Tamandua tetradactyla: one gene and its partner. The protein of the gene in region 2 purifies or fractionates together with the protein of the main gene of each other region. This does not show direct contact. Links are inferred from orthologs where the notes say so. Each region holds a gene or a part of one and is shown on either strand. Other genes may lie near its edges.

What was found. Proteins that work in one complex are often made in the same cells at the same time.
Region 1: the proteins of PINX1 (region 2) and TERT purify together in Homo sapiens (co-immunoprecipitation; 3 studies listed by BioGRID and IntAct, with this or other methods). This does not show direct contact. The link is inferred for Tamandua tetradactyla from reciprocal best matches to the Homo sapiens genes PINX1 and TERT.

Annotation. Positions count from the first base shown.
Region 1 is NC_135335.1:49,469,416-49,476,898, forward strand, and holds the start of TERT (telomerase reverse transcriptase), read right to left. Parts: upstream 3,237-7,483; coding exon 3,018-3,236; intron 2,914-3,017; coding exon 1,578-2,913; intron 1-1,577. UniProt on the Homo sapiens protein: Telomerase is a ribonucleoprotein enzyme essential for the replication of chromosome termini in most eukaryotes. Active in progenitor and cancer cells. Inactive, or very low activity, in normal somatic cells.
Region 2 is NC_135329.1:32,277,679-32,285,869, forward strand, and holds the start of PINX1 (PIN2/TERF1-interacting telomerase inhibitor 1), read right to left. Parts: upstream 3,087-8,191; 5' UTR 2,910-3,086; coding exon 2,891-2,909; intron 1-2,890. UniProt on the Homo sapiens protein: Microtubule-binding protein essential for faithful chromosome segregation. Mediates TRF1 and TERT accumulation in nucleolus and enhances TRF1 binding to telomeres. Inhibits telomerase activity. May inhibit cell proliferation and act as tumor suppressor.

The DNA of each region.
Region 1 (7,483 bases), on a different chromosome or scaffold from region 2:
GAACAAGGACTAACGTCCAACGAGAAACACACAATCCACAGACAGCGAGAATGGAGGGGAACGAGGCGCGGTGAAAAGCAGGAGAAACCGAAAGGAAGATAAAAGAAACGCTGCACAACAGGTCTCTACTCTGGGGAAATGGAAACAAGTTAGAGCCTGCGGATAAATGACAGATTAGACTGAAAGTGCCCTCGGCCCCGGCCCCGTGCTGTCACAGGACACGCGCTGAGAAGGTCCGAGGCCACGAGAGGGTAAAACAGAAGGGTGAGAAGGCGCAATGGACGGCCATTGCCACAGGGAAACCGCGCGGCCCCCGAAGGGCCGTGAGAGCCGCCACGACCGGGGAGCAATCGCCAGGAAGACGGACCCTCCAGTACGCTGCCAAGTCCTCGTCACGGTCCCCGCAGCGTGCCCAGCGCAGACCCCGCGGGAGGGTGTGGGCCGCGTGCCAGCTGCGTAGGGGCAGCAGCTCCGGGCAGCACGGGGGGAGCCTGGGGGGCCCCAACGCCCACCGGGCTTCGCGCAGAGCACACCCCCCCGGCAGGAGAAAAGTCCCAAGAGACATCACACAGTCTCGTGCAGCCCCCTCCCCCTGACCAGCACACCGTGGGGAGAAGCCACCCACAACAGCCCGCGACATCCCACACACGTGGGAAATAAAACACAAACGTCTTAACTAACGCGCTGACCTGATCTCAGAAGAGACGAGAACACACTCGAATGGCCGCTACCGTGAGCGGCGCACATGGAGCCTGGGTGCGGCTAAAGCAGGGCCTGGAGGGACAGTCAGGGCCGAGCCACCAACCGGAGGGAGACCGGGCGCCCCGCACACCCGAGGCGGGGTGAAGGACAGGCTGCTCACCAGACGGCGCGGCAGAGGCGGGCGGCCCGTGCCTCTTGACACTAGTGTGTGGGCGACGGGGGCAGAAGGGACTCCATGTCAAGTCCTGGAGCACGGCATGAACCAAGGGGCCCCCCAGGACCTCGGGGCTGCCTGGCTGCCCTGCAGCAAGAGGCTACCCACTGCTCTCCCCACCCATCGGTCTGGCTCCCACGGCTCCTGCACCCCTCCCGCACCCTGCCCTCCCCGCCCAGCTCAGCCCTAAGTGCGGATCTGCCCGCTGCCCCCCGCCCACCACCCACAAAGGCTCAGTTCCCATCCCCTTCTCTTCCCTCCCCCCACGTGGAGCATGGGGCCCGGTTTTACAGGGATAAACTTTAAAGTCAAGGAGGGGACAGCAGTGAGCTGCCCGCACCCTCATGAGAGCTTCTGGACACTTCTGACCTGTTGCTGGAAACCTGCTTCCACTGGCCCTCTGCATCCTGTTTGCTCACTGCTCCGGCCTGAGCCCACAAATGGGTGGACAGTGCTGGGCAGGTAAGGGCGTGGATCAGAGGGCAGAGATGGCCTACATGTGGCCTGAACAGGAAGCAACTTGCACCCCAAGTGAGGGAAGGGGTCCGAGGACCCAGGCGGACCTCTGCCCACCAGTGTGCGCCTTCTCGAGCCTCCCGTGCTCACAGCTGCATGCCACCGCTGGACAGCCACCTGCCCCGTCCTGGGCCCACCTGCTCACCTGGACGCCGGCGCAGCCAGGTGCAGTCCTCCACCCTCATCTTCCACATCAGTTCCCTCAGCGGCAGCCGGGCGTGCTTCCCCAGCGAGAGGAACTTCTTCACGTTCCTCAGGAAGCGACACTTATTGTGTCTGGAGCCCCAGAGGCGGGTGGGCACCAGCCGCTGGAGACACGCGCGCAGGAACATGTACACCTGCCACGGGCTGCTGTGCCGACGGAGCAGCTGCACCAGACGCCGCGGCTCCGCGTCCTCCTCGCCGGCTGCCTCCGCTGCCAGCCTGGGGGGCCTCTCCTGGGGCCCGCCCCCTGCCCCGCCCGACAGCAGGCCCCCAGCCTCGGCGCGCCCAGGGGACCCCCGCACGGACGTTGAGGCCCGGCGTGGGCAGTGCGTGCTGAGCAGCGCGCCATATGGGCACCGCGCGTGGTTCTCCAGCAGCTCCCGGAACAGGGGCCGCATTCTCCAGTAGCGCTGGGGCAGGCGCCGCGTCCTCCGGGAGGCCCCGCGGGCGGGCGGCGTCGAGGGCAGGAAGATGGCCTCCACGAGGCGGCCGGCGCCTGCCAGGCTTCCCTGCAAGCCGCTGAGCAGGAAGGAGCGCGGCAGCCGCTCGCTGGCCCGGGCGGAGTACAGGAGGAGCTTGGTCTCGATGTAAGTGTCCCAGGGACCCGACGGCGGTGGCCGTGTGGACGAGGACCGGGTGGCGCGATCGCTGCCCGCCCGCGTGGAAGGGCCACATGTCCCCAACGGCTCGCTCTCCCAAGTGGTGGCAAACGTGGCGGCTCCGGGGATGGCTGTCCCAGTCGGGGTATCGCTGTCCCTCTGCATCTGTACCCGGCCTGGGTCAGCCAGGGCAGCCGGCTCATCGGGCTCCCCAACCGGGTCACGCCTGGGTCTCTTGGCCGAAGACGACCCGCTCGCGCTGCCTCGACGTCGCCTCCGGCTGGGGGCTGCCGCTGTGCCGACCCTCTGCGCTACCTCCCCGGCGCTGGCAGATCGCCGAGCCGAACGGACAGGGGACCAGCCGAGCTCGTAGAGCGGCGCCCCGCACACCTGGTAGGCGCAGCTGGGGGCCACCAGCAGGTAGAGTGCGCAGCGCGTCAGCAGGTGGGCCAGCACGTCGTCCCCAAGGCGGTGCAGCAGCAACCCCCACGCGCCGCTGCCGCGCAGCGTCTCGGTGGCCGTGTTGGGCAGGTAGCTGCGCACGCTCGTCGTGAAGGCCACCGGCGGCCCGTCGCGCGCCTCGTCCAGCAGTGCGAAGCCGAAGGCCAGCACGTTCCTGGTGCCGCGCTCGCACAGGCCCTGCACGACCCTGGCCACCAGCTCCTTCAGGTAGGACACCTGCGGACGCGACGGGGGTTGAGGGGCGTGAGTCGGCGCCCCGGAATGCACGTGCCCCGCGGCACGCCGGCGGGGTGGGGCGAAAAGGGCCCGGCGGGTCCCACCTGTTGGAAGGAGGGGGCAGCGGGGAGCGGCCGCGCGCCCCAGGGCACGCACACCAGGCACTGGGCCACCAGCGCACGGAAGGACGCAGGATCCCCGCGCCGCACCAGCCGCCGGCCCTCGGCCCCCAGGCGCCGGGCGAACTTGGCCAGCGGCAGCACCTCACGGTAGCGCCCGCGCAGCAGCGCGCGCACGGCCCGACAGCGGGGGGCGCGCGGCATCGCGGCGGGGAAGGGCCGGGGCGCGCGAGCCGAGCTCCCACGTGCTGGGGATCCAGGCTCCCGCCGGCGCTGCGAGGAGGGGAGGGGCCGCAGCAGGAAGGGGCGTGGTGGGGCGGGGCCCGGAGAGGAAGGGGCGTGGTGGGGCGGAGCCCTGGGCGGGGCGGGGGCGGGACCTGCGCGCACCTGTTCCCCGCCGGGGATCTGGGCGGGCACTCGAGGGCCGCATCAGGGCTGAGCGCAGGCGGAGTCTGGACGCACCCGGCTGCTGCAGGGCGACCCCTCTCAGGGCGTCTCCGGGCTCAGAGGCGCGGCGGGCGCGGGGCGCAGAGTGCGGCCTCTCTGCCAAGAGGATCCGGACTTAGCCGGGGCGGCGGACCTTCGGATGGGGTCCACAGGGAGCTGGGGGTCTCTGCGCCCCTGAGGAGAGGGCGTTCTGCTACTCCCTTCCTCGGAGGCCCTCGGCCCCCGCGCGGCTGGTGCCACGGAAAGGGACGATGGCAGCCAGCCCTCCCTACAGCACGTTCCCGACCGGGTCGGAATCGCAGCCCCACCACGCGCCAGGGTCCCCTTTTCGGGGTCCCCTTTTCAGGCTCCTGCCGTGGTGGGGACAGTAAACAGCAAACCAAAGCCGTTCCTGGTGTAATCTGCCCCACCCCCACCCCCCGGCCAAGGGGGCAGCTCTCCCCTCAGAACCCACTTCACGGGCAGGGGCCCACTGGGCCGCGAGGGAGGTGTGATCCCACAGCCCGGCCCCCCTTTACCAGTTACCCCTCCACCGCTTGAGGGTGCACAGGCTGAGGTCACGGGGCGGGGGCACAGACGGGGCGGCCTCAGTTCACCTCCTTCACGACACTCCACGGGACTCGACTTTAAACCCACACTTGGGGCGGTCAAGTTTGAGTCACCAAGTGGAGACACTGGGGGTCTCTGGAGTGGAGCTGGGAGTTTCGTAAACGCTGAAACGCTGAGCAAACGTGACCTTTCCAACCTGAGCAGCTGGCGAGGCCGTCGCTGCGCATTTACCCTGTCCGGGCTGCGGTAAATGCGCAGAGCTGTCTGGAGCCGTTTCCGCCGTGCGCTGCGCCAGCTCCTGCCTCGGCAAGGCGGTGTTGGACAACCGCTTAACTGTGCGGCGAAGGATTCGCGCTGCTTTGGAGAACGTGCGCTTTCCCAACAGAGAAGTGGCTGCCCCAACACAGAACCTTCAACAGGCGCCACGAACGGGGCGTCAGAAGGCGCAGCTCATCCTTAAAGGGAGCGGGAGAAACTGAGGCAGGGCAGAGCGCCGGCCAGGCCCACGCCACCATCCCAGTGACAGAACAGCTCATCCCCTGGCTTGGGCCAGGGCTCTGACGTGCCTTTGTCGGGACGTGACTCAGTCTACCCCAGTTGGCTGGAACACAGGCCAGCCACAGAAAAGCGCTCTAGCCCTTCCACGGCAGGGACGGGCGGCAGTGCTGAACGCTGCGCCCCAGCCAGAGACAGCGGCGTGCACGCAGGAAGGCCCTGTTTTCAATCCCAGGAGGGGGGCGCCAAGGTGGCCGCCTCCAGGGCGGTGTCCACGTGCTGACCACACCGGGAGGTGAAGGGAAACCCAGCAACCCGCGCAGGGCGGGCAGTGAGTCGCTTCAGCCCTGAGTAAGGAGAGAAATAAGTGGCCCCCACGCCACAGGCCTGCGTGTACAACCCACCCCTGGGAGATCCTGAGGGAAAGGGGCAGGCTCGGGGTTCCACAGCGCTGCGGGGGTCTCCCGTGGGTTTGGGGGGCTGAAGGCGCAGGTCTTGGGGTGGGGTGCCGTGGGCGGGGCTGGTCACGCCGTCCTGGCGTGCTGGGTGCGCGCTGCGGAAAGGGGGAGGACTGGCCGCGTCTCAGCCGTCTGCGGCTCCAAAATGGGTGCCGTGGGACTTAATGGGAGTAAGCTCCCATTCTAAGGGAAAGTACATGCAAGGATGTGGGGTCCACGGCACACCCCACTGTATACAGGGTGCCCATGCTGGACGCCGGACACAGCACCCCCACCCCCACCCCGGGGGCTCACTCCCAGCGCTCTGTTCTCTCACTTGTGGCTTTGAAATCCTTATGACCCCCAGGGAATTGGCACCTGTAGGTGCTGTAACAGTGACCTGGCACACAGCAGCTGGGGGCCAGAGGTCCAGCGACCTCGCTCGCCAGGTGCAGGTGCACAATTGTCCTGGAGGCTTGGGAAGACCCGCCCCTAGCCTTTTCCGGCCTCGGGGGGCTCATGGCTCCTTCCTGCACTCTCAAGCCGATGCCCTCTCTGACCCCGAGTCCTGCTTCCTGGCTCTGCTGTCCACTGCAGTGACCCTGCACCCAGGAGACTCTCCCTACTCCAGGTCGTTTCGCCCCAGAAGGCAGCACGCTCCCAGGTTCCCAGACACTTTCCGAGGGCCCCGGTGTCCTGCACCGAGACAAACACCACGCCCTGGGCTGGTTAAGCACGGGCACTCTGCGGCTCAGGGTTCCGAGGCTGGAAGGCTCCGTCCCATGTGTTCGGGGGTTTCTGGCAGTGCTGGGCCCTGGTGCCACCCCCGCCTTTTGCCTCGGCTCTGTGACCTCCAGCTTCTCTTCGTGGCCTTCTATCCCGGGGGCAGGATGCAGCCTGGCTCGGGTGGCCACACATTGACCGAGGCTGACAGCTTCAAGGGGCCTGTTTACAGTGTTTCTTCTGGGTCCTCAGTCTGCCTGGGGGCTGCCCTCAGCCCCAGCTGTGACGTCTCTGTGGCTGTGACACTGCCTGGGCATCCGCCTGCGTCTGTTCAGTTTGCGTGGCCTCCGGCTTGATCGAGGCTGGGAGCTGAGCCCCAATACCGAGCAGGCCCCCATGTGCCTCCCGCCCCTCGCCGCATCCCCTGGTGACCCCGGCCCTTCTCCAGCTCTAATTTTGTCGATTGGAGAGCGCGACAGGAATGGAATCACACATGGCCTTTGGGGCGGGCTTTCTGCCCTCGCCACGCGTCCGGACACTAGCCTGGCGCTGCTCAGAATCCGTGGCTTTGGCTGTGGGGCCGTGTTGTGTGCCGTGGGGGTGCCACGGCGTGTCCACACGCTCCCCGGCGAGGGCGAGTGGCCTGTCCCGCAGGTGCAACGACAGTGCAGTGGCCGCGCCCGGTCACGCTTCCCACCGCCCAGGGCGAGCGCGCAGGGGCTGCGGTAGGGGAGGTGCTTGCCCAGTTTGGTGCCCCGCATCCCGCTGCCCGCAGCCGTCCCCGGTGGACAGCCACGGCCCACCCTGGTCCGACGACCTGTCCCCGCTTCCCGGCTGCTGGGGTGCGGCAGGCAGCGTATCGAGGCCGCAGTGTCTCGAGGCCGCAGGCTGCCTTCCCCCGGGCCTGTGTCCCCTGGCCACCGGCAGTCCTTGGGCCTCTTGGCTTTTCCCTCCCATGGCCGTGCAGGGGGTGGTGTCTTCCCTGTCCATCTGGGTCCCGTGGACGTCTGTCCAGCTTCTGCACTGGGCCCCTTAGGAATGGGGTGCCGGCAAGAGCGAGTTTTCCTGCGGTGCGAGCTCCACGCCACCGCGGGGCCTGCACAGTGTAGACAGCTGCCCACCAAGACCGCCCCTGCGGGCCTGGAACCAGGCAGTGGCCACCCGCTGGCACCAAGGCCAGCCCCGTGGCCGTGGCCCACCCAGCCCTGGGCTCTGGTCACCTGGAGCAGCAGAGCCCGAGCTCCTGCGTCCCGCCTCGGCGCTGAGGGCCACCCCCCGTGTTAGGTCCTGGGTGCCATGATCTGGGTGCCGCCCCCCATGTTAGGTCCTGGGTGCCATGACCTGGGTGCCGCCCCCCGTGTTAGGTCCTGGGTGGGAGGGGCCAGGCAGGGCCGGTCCAGGCACTGGACGGGCTCCTGTGGACGGGGCCCGGGTGGCCGACGGCGCCCGTCTCACCACATCCGCTGGGCTCAGGGGCCCTCCCGGCTCGTGGAGGCCCACAGTGGGCTTCAGTCACTGGGGGGTGAGGGGAGTGTGGGGGCGGGGCCTGGCTGGGGCCATGTTAGGGAAGTGTGGCTGCTGGAGGCCTCTGCATGGAGGGGCTCCCCTCACAGGCCCCGGAGTGGCCGAGGCATCTCCCAGCTCTGGGCATGGGACCCCGTGCTGCAGCAGGGGACCCCTACGCAGCCTGGGATTGGTTGTGCTCTGCAGCCTGGGTTGAGTCTGTCTTCTGCCTGAAGGAGTGGTGGGAACTTGTTTTTCACTCAATATTTGCGTGGAAGTGATGGAGCCACTGTTTGA
Region 2 (8,191 bases):
CACTGTAATGGATGGATAGGGCTGGGTCTCAGGGTAGAGATTTCTGAATCTGCAGAGTCTCTGGAATGATATGTTTAACTATCTGTTTAATTTGCCAGGGCTGCTATAACAAATACCATAAGCTGGCTGGCTTAAACAACAGGAATTTAGTGGCTCACAGTTTGGAGGTGAGAAGCTCAAAAATCAAAAGTATTGGCAGACCACACCTTCTCTGAAGTCTACAGCATTCTGATGATGGCTTGCTGGAAATCAATCTCTGCCTCTATCACATGGCAATCTGTCTCTGTTCAGATTTCCTCTCTTTCTATAAGAACTTCAATCTTATTAAGCTAGGTTCCACTCTGATTCAATCTGGCCTCATCTAAAGAGAATCTCTGAGTGAGTTCACCCTCACAAGACTAGGGAGTTGAAACTTGAACATGCCTTTGGGATGGGGGTAGGGGGACATGATTCAATCTACCCCACCATCCTCTAGCAGACAGTCTCTTCCTAACTGGAGATCTAATTGTAAATCTCTCCCCCACGAGAATACATCTAGGATAATTCCAATAAAAAAATTTTCTAAACAACAACTGCAAGGGACTTCACTTTTCCATCACTCCATGCCTGCTATAGCATGGCTTATGCCAGGAGTCAGCTTACTCTGAAAGGTATGTTGAGTCCTAAGAGCCAGAAACAAAGATTTTGCTGTTTTTTCCAAAGAGATTTTCAGATATTCAAGAGCTCAAAGTATACCCGCATGAATTCTTTTAAAAAATGTTCAAGATATATTCAAGATTGAGGAAGGTATAATATAAAATTTTCATGTAGTGAGTATCAAGATTATTAACTATATATGTTGTAATTTGTAATTCTAACTGTATTTGTTGTAATTTGGTTACAAAATGTAATACTTGCAAGTGTCAAAAATTGATCTTGAAAAGGTTTTATGAATGAATTAATATCTTAATAACAGTCTGGGTCTAAAACTCCAAATTATATAAAAGTGGGAAGGGTGATAAAATCCTTGTCTTACATAGGGAAGATTCAATAAAATCGCATTTCATAATTAGAGAAATAACAGGATAAAGAATTTTTACGTTTTTGAGAAAAAAGAAAACCACTAGTAGATTAAAAATAGAATAAGTACCTGTGGTGAAGATAACAGAATACAAACTATAGATCATATGGTAATGGAACACAAAGGAAATGGCATTCTTAATAATATGAAAACGCTCGTAATCTAATGCTAAGTATGAAAAAAGCAGGATACAAAAATATACCTATAGAATGATATCATTTTCATAAACTATCAGAGAAAAATAATTACTGGGTAGCAAAATTATGGGTTACTTCTGGGACTTTTCTATGCTTCAAATTCCTCATCTCTAAAATAAGAACATCAACTCTAAATATCTAATCATGTTAATTTAACAAGCTATTTTAAAAGAAACTACAAAATATTATATAAATATTTGAAAATTTGGAATAAATAGTGGGCGAAAAGAAGTGATATCAGTGATTTTTTTATATCAACCTAGTGATGAAGATAATAAAAGAAATTTTTAATAGTCACAGAGAAACTGATCATGGAAACAGTAGAAATGAAGGGCAGAACCAGGGCCAGTGTTCCCAAATGCATGATAATTAAGTAAATCTCAAAAAACATTAAAACCTGAGACTTTAGCCATCTAAGTTCTAGTCTTGACTGTTCATTTTTATAGATGATGAAATAAGAGTCTAGAGGGTCACCATGTAAAACATTCTTTTCTATGAGCCTCAACTTAGAAACGGTAGAAAATCGCTGGTACTAGTGGCAAGAATATAAAGTTCCAAAGATAACTAGGTCAATTTTGCCACCTACTAGCTGAATGATTTTGGACAGTTTATTTTTCTTTGAACTTAAATTTCTGCCCCTGTATAACTGGGGATAGTGCCTTACCCATTTCCTTTCACGCTCCTATTCCTCCATCACCTTAGAAAATAGAATGTTGACATTTATTTTACAAATTTCCTGTGCAACTTGCTGTTGGTCTTTTAATTAAACTTTCTGGTCACTGTTCACTACACAATTTCTTCCAAAAAGCATGAAGCGGTTTTTCATGACCAAAGCACGACTGCCACCTGGTGGCAAGAAACCTTAACTACAAATACCATTCAGAATTTAGCCTCCAGAGAAGGGGATTCAATCAACTTCAATCTATAAAATGATGGTAAATATCAAAGGCAAACTGAAGAAGGCTGGGGCCTACAATCCTGCAATGAAAGAGGGTTAGTAATTCCAAGTCTTGGAAGAGAGCTAGTAATTACAAGCAACCAGTTTCCAACTAAGTCAAAAACGCCAAAGTCTTCCTTATAATTACTTATTAGCCCTGCACCCCGCACCCCCCAAACAAATTTCCTGTGTTTGATGCCTTTTACTCCCTTTGCTTTTCTATTCCTGGGTTCAACATCTTCAAAAATATATTTCACTGGCTGAAGAGATCCGTCTGGACCCAAGTCTTCTTTAACCAGAGGAGGCTGAAAACTGGGCAAGTAAAAGAACGAGTCCGGGTCCCCACGAACGGTGGCGGCATAGCCAGTCTCAGGACACAGTGTGCTGACTTCCATTTGAACAAACCGCGCGCGTCCCCAGGTTTGAGTCTAAGGGCCCGAAGTCTCTCGATGGGACGCTCGCAGTCTCTTTTAATATAGCTAATCCGGTAGCTAACTTTCGTGGAAGGCTGAGGCTGGGAAATCCACGGCGACCCCCAATGGGGTTCCCCGGCCCGACCCCACATCCCGGGCATCTAACGCCTCTGCCCCACCGCACGCCGGCGACTCGCGCTCCCCACCACTCAGTCCCGCCGGGCGCGTTCCCCCGGAATCTTCACCCTCGTGCCCTAATCGGGTTTTCTCGTCCCACACTCACGCTCAGCCAGCATCGACATTTCGGGGCGCTTTATTAGGCCTTGGGACCTAGACGACTGTGGTAACTCGGTGGCCGGTTCGCTGAGAAACCAGAATCGCTGGAGTCGCACGCTGAGGTATGCGGCTTCGGCGAGCGGCGCGCGCTGATGACGTCGTGAAGTGCGACTCACTCCTGCACCTCGCGGCGACGGGTGGGCGGGGCGCGAACCGGCTGGAGGTTGGGGTGGGGAGGCCAGGTAGGCGCGAGGCTGCGGGAAAGGGTGACTGGACCGCGAAGCCGGGAGGGAGGGAGTCGAGGGTAGGGGGTGTAAAGGAGGTGAAGAGAGCCGTGTTCGTTCATTTACCTGAGGAAATACATGTATTAAATGATTGGATATGTGTAAAGCCCTTGTGGGAGTGTCTGCCTCGGAGCAAGCGCTCAATGTGTTACCTTTTTAATCGTCTTCATTAATGACTAAATGTCACGGGCATTGGAAAGAAGACGAACTCTGTCTTCAGGTAGCTCACAGTCTAATGGGAAAAAGAGGGAGACGAGATACGTACGAGATCGTCCTTAGGGTCGCCAGTGTTCTGGCAACGATGTGTACAGATGTTTAAGATGCTCGGTAGGTGGTGAAGACTTTGCATTGTGGTGTGCTATCTCATTTCTTCGTACTTCGCCTCTGCGTTCTGACAGACACATACCTGACCCATACATCCATACGTACGTCTTGGGATCCCGAGTTAAGCAGATGACTCATTCTGGGGAAAATGTTGTCTCTCTTTAAATAATATGATTCCTTCAACAGCACAAAGGTGTTTATTTACTTTCCCCACTATGATGTACGCACTGGAACTTTGCCTTTATCATATTCATCTCCGTTCCCATTCTAGCGTCTAGTAAAATAATTTGAGTATGGCAAGGGTTCCAAAGATGTTTGTGAAATTTGATTAAAGTGCCTTTGTCTCCAGGGGAGTTATAACGGAATTCTGGAATGAGAATTCAAAGATTGAGGCAGACAGACAGTAAGGGCATGTTTTTGGACAGGTGACGTTCCTATGAACTTCAGATGACACTGCAGACAGAGGCCTCCCCCTCATAAGTGGAAGATGGAGTACCACCCAGGTATCAAGAGAAGCTATGTTGAGGACTAGATTCCTACTTTAATGAACTCACCCTTGAACTAGGTGTCTAGACAAACAAGGTAAACTCTGGTTTCATTAAAGTAAAAAATAGTAACACAAAGGAATATTTGCTGCTATCAGTACATAGGTGAGAGTTGAGAGAGGTGAGGAGATGCAAAGTCAATGAACTTTTCACAGCCAAGGCAGAGAGCTGGCAAGTTGTGACATGGGAGGAAAAGATGAAAGAAGGGAGATGGACTTGCCCAAAATTAGGAAAGCAGGATCGCCATGTCTTTCTTAGGATAATTAGAAGATGTTTGATTATACCAGCAAAAATGGAAGGGCAGAAAATAATGAATTGATCAGGAACATCAGCCATATATCTGTACATGATTTGAGAAAGATTGAGGCAGAAGTTTGGTATGCTGTTGCAGTGGTCCAAGTGATAGATGATGAGAACCAAATGAAGACTGTGGGTATGGCAGTGAATGGCAAGGAATGATTGAGATGTCTGTCTTGTGATACAATGAGCCACCTTTCCTGGAAAAGTTCAGTCAGAAACCAAAAACGAATGTTGTAGAGGGGACTGCATTTGGATGGAAGGTTAGACTAATGGTTTCCACCATTTGTTCCCGATTCAGCTTTCTGTGCATTTATGAATGTGATGCCGTAAACTAGAGAAGCCATAAATTCCTAGAAAAGACAAAAAAAAAAAAAAAAAAAAACCCATGTAAGTGTATCTTAAAGCACATGTGCACATTCCTAAGCACAACAGCTGTCTGTACTAGAACCACTCCTGCTGCATATCAGTAACCTCAAAGAGATAGATTCACAATCTTGGAAATCCCAACTTGGCTCTGTGTTGTCCTTGTGCTTACCAGATATGACCCCCTGTAGTCCTCTGGATGTCTTATAGCAACCCAAGACTGGCTTCACGGTTTGCAAGTTCCCTAATAAACTGTTAATATTTTGCAATATGGAGTAGCCTGCTTCATTTGTTGGTCTTCAATGCCCTCAAACTTTGGCAGAACATATTTTGTAGGTTCACAGCTAGACAATGAAATATCTTTGAAGATCACTGTGACAGTTTGAAGCTACTATGAACCCCAGAAAAGCCATGTTTTAATCCTGTACCAGTCTTGTGGGGGAAACAATTTCTTTTAATCCTGACTCAATATTGTAGGGTGGAAACTTTTGATTAGATGATCTCTTTGAAGATGTGGCATGCCCAATTATAGGTCCAACCTTTTGATTAGATGGAGATGTGACTCCACCCATTAAAGGTGGGTCTTCATTAGTTTACTGGAGTCCTTTAAAAGGGGAAATATTTTGAAGAAACCTGAAAGCTGACACAGAGGCAGATGTTTGGAGAACAGTTACTACAGTCTATATGAGACCCTGACATTTGGAGATGCAGCACCCAGCAGACATCACCATATGTCTTCCCATGAGATGCTAAGCAAGCCAGAACCCAGAGTTGTGTCAGAGGAGCTAAATAAGGAACCCTCAAAGGGAACAGAGGCTGAAAGCAATGGATCCCAGGAGCAAGGGACCAGCAGATGCCAGCCACATGCCTTCCCAGCTGACAGAGGTGTTCCTGATGGCATCAGCCTTTCTTGAGTGAAGATAACCTTTTGTTGTTGCCTTAATTTGAACACTTTCATGGTCTTAGAACTGTAAACTTGCAGCTTATTAAATTCCCTTTTTAAAAGCTATTCCATTTCTGGTATATTGCGATCTGGAAGCTTAACAAACGAATACAATTGTTCATTGACAAATATATATAGTTTGCTTTTTTTAAATTACAGAATCTGGTTTATATTTTCAAGTGATCAGCCTCAAGTGGAAACTGTACTTTTAAAAAGAAGATAATTCAGTGTAGGACATTTAGTCTTGTTCTTTAACCTCTCAGCAGACCTCCTAGGATAGATCTTCTTAAACTAATGTGCATGAGAATCACCCAGGGAATCTTGTAAAAACGCGGGTTCTGGTTCAGTAGGTCTGGAGTGCAGCCACAGATTCTGCATTCCTAATAAGCTTCCAAATGATAATCCACAGACCTTCCTTTGTTTAGGTAGCAGGGCTTTAGGGAGACAAAGATATGAATGAACTAAGGGATAAAGTATGCCTTTTTTCCCCATTTAAGGAAAATGCTTTATGAAGAACACCTTTATATGGCAAAGATAAACTCTTTCAAAATACTTCAAATAATTTGACCTAGAACGCACTTGCATAAATCATCTGAGTTAGATTTTTGTCTTCAGGCAGTGAAAACAAACATCAGGGACAGACAGTTTTTCTTTTCTCTAGCTCTTTGGTGAATACCACTCTCTGTCGAGCTCTCTCAACACAAAGACACATGCACACCATTATAAAAGTTAGTTCAACATCTTGTACAATCACAAAAAAGAATTGTCATATATTGCATTATACCTTTATATTTTTCAGCTAAAACAACAAAGTTTTATCTTCAGAAGAAAGAGAGCTAAATCTCGCCAAACTTCCCTCATTTCTAAGAGGCAATAGCTTACTACAGTGTGTAAAAAGAAATATATAATGTAAAAATTAGCACTAGACAAGCAGTTAGAAACTTGACAAAGTCCAGATTCTATACTAACTTGGGGTGTGAGCTTGGGGAAGTCATTTCACTTATTTTGATATTGGTGTCCCAATCTATGAAAAGAGAGAGCTACATGATCTCTGAGATTATTTCCAGATTTGAAAAGACTTTCAGAGACTTGTTTTAGTCAAAAAACATAACTCTGTAATCTGAGTATCAAAGTATAATAGCATAATAGAGAGCTTGTATTCTGAAGCCAAATTTCCTGGGTTCAAATCTTAGCTGTCACTTACTAGCTTTGCAAATCTGCTATGTATCTTGGGTAGATTACTTCACTTCTCTATTCCATTGTTCTTCATCTTCAAAATAAGCATAATAGTACTTTCTTTATTGAACTGTTATGGTAATAATGAGATGATATATGTTAATTGCTTAGATGGCTTCTGACACTCAGAGTACTCAATAGCTATGATAATTTTTAAGGGAGAGAGAAGTTAGGATGATTATTTCAGCAAACTTTTTGTTTCAGGCACCGTGCTAGATTTAGATGCTAGAATAATAAAGGTGAATAAAAACAAACATGACCCCTGCTCTCACTAAGTTTGCTTTCTAGCAGGGAAAATGGACATTAATTGAATGACTACATACATAAGTGCAAAATTATAAATATGATAAATGCTGTGGAGGAGGGATACATGATGCTAGGAAAGAGGATTAGAGATTTCATTTAGTCACGTAAGTCAGAAAAGGAAGTGAAAAGTGAACTAAAACATGACTTATTCAAGGAGTTGATGTGGCTGGAGTGCAGAGCAAGGGAAAGGTTGAGCTGGGTAAGGTCTGAAAGTTGAGTAGAGGCTGGTTCTTACAGGGCCTCTGGGTCTTTGTCTTAAGAGCTATGGGAAGCCATTGGAGAATTTTCAGGAGAGGAGTAACACAAATAGTTTTAAAAAGATCCTGATGGCTGCCTTGTGGAGGAAAATAAATGAGGGGGTAAAGTATGTATGGGGATCCCATTTAGCAATTGTAATAGTTCAAGTGAAAGACGATGACAGCTTAAACTACAGTAGTAGCTGTACAAGTGAAGATTAGTGGTTGAATTAAAAAGACATTTAGAAAGCAAGATCAATAAGAATTGGTGACGACCTGGACAAGCTGGTGTGTGTGTGTGAGAGAGAGAAAGAGAAAAGTATCAAGAATAACTTTAAGGTTCCTGGTTTCTATAACTGAAGTGATGGTATTTTGGGTTAGGAATAAAACTTTTTTAGTTTTGGGCACATTGAACATGATGTGTCTTTGAGTATAGGCATCATCAGTTGGACACATGAGTCTAGAGATCAAAGGAAAAGCTTGGGCTAGAATGAAAAACTGAGTATCACTTGAGTGTAGATGGTAATTGAAGCCATTAGTAGCAGATGTGTACCCAGAAGGAGCGCAAAATGAGAACAGAAAAAGACCTGTAGCCAAGCCCAGAGATGGCTGGTAGAGAAGAATGAGTAGGCAAAAGAGAGATAGAAGGGGCAGCCTCAGGTAAGAGGAAAAGCAGAAGCAGAAAAAGTTTGAAGAATGAAGAAATGGTCAACAGTGTGGGAAATGTAAAGAGATCATATAATATGAGCACAGACATATTTCCATTCCATG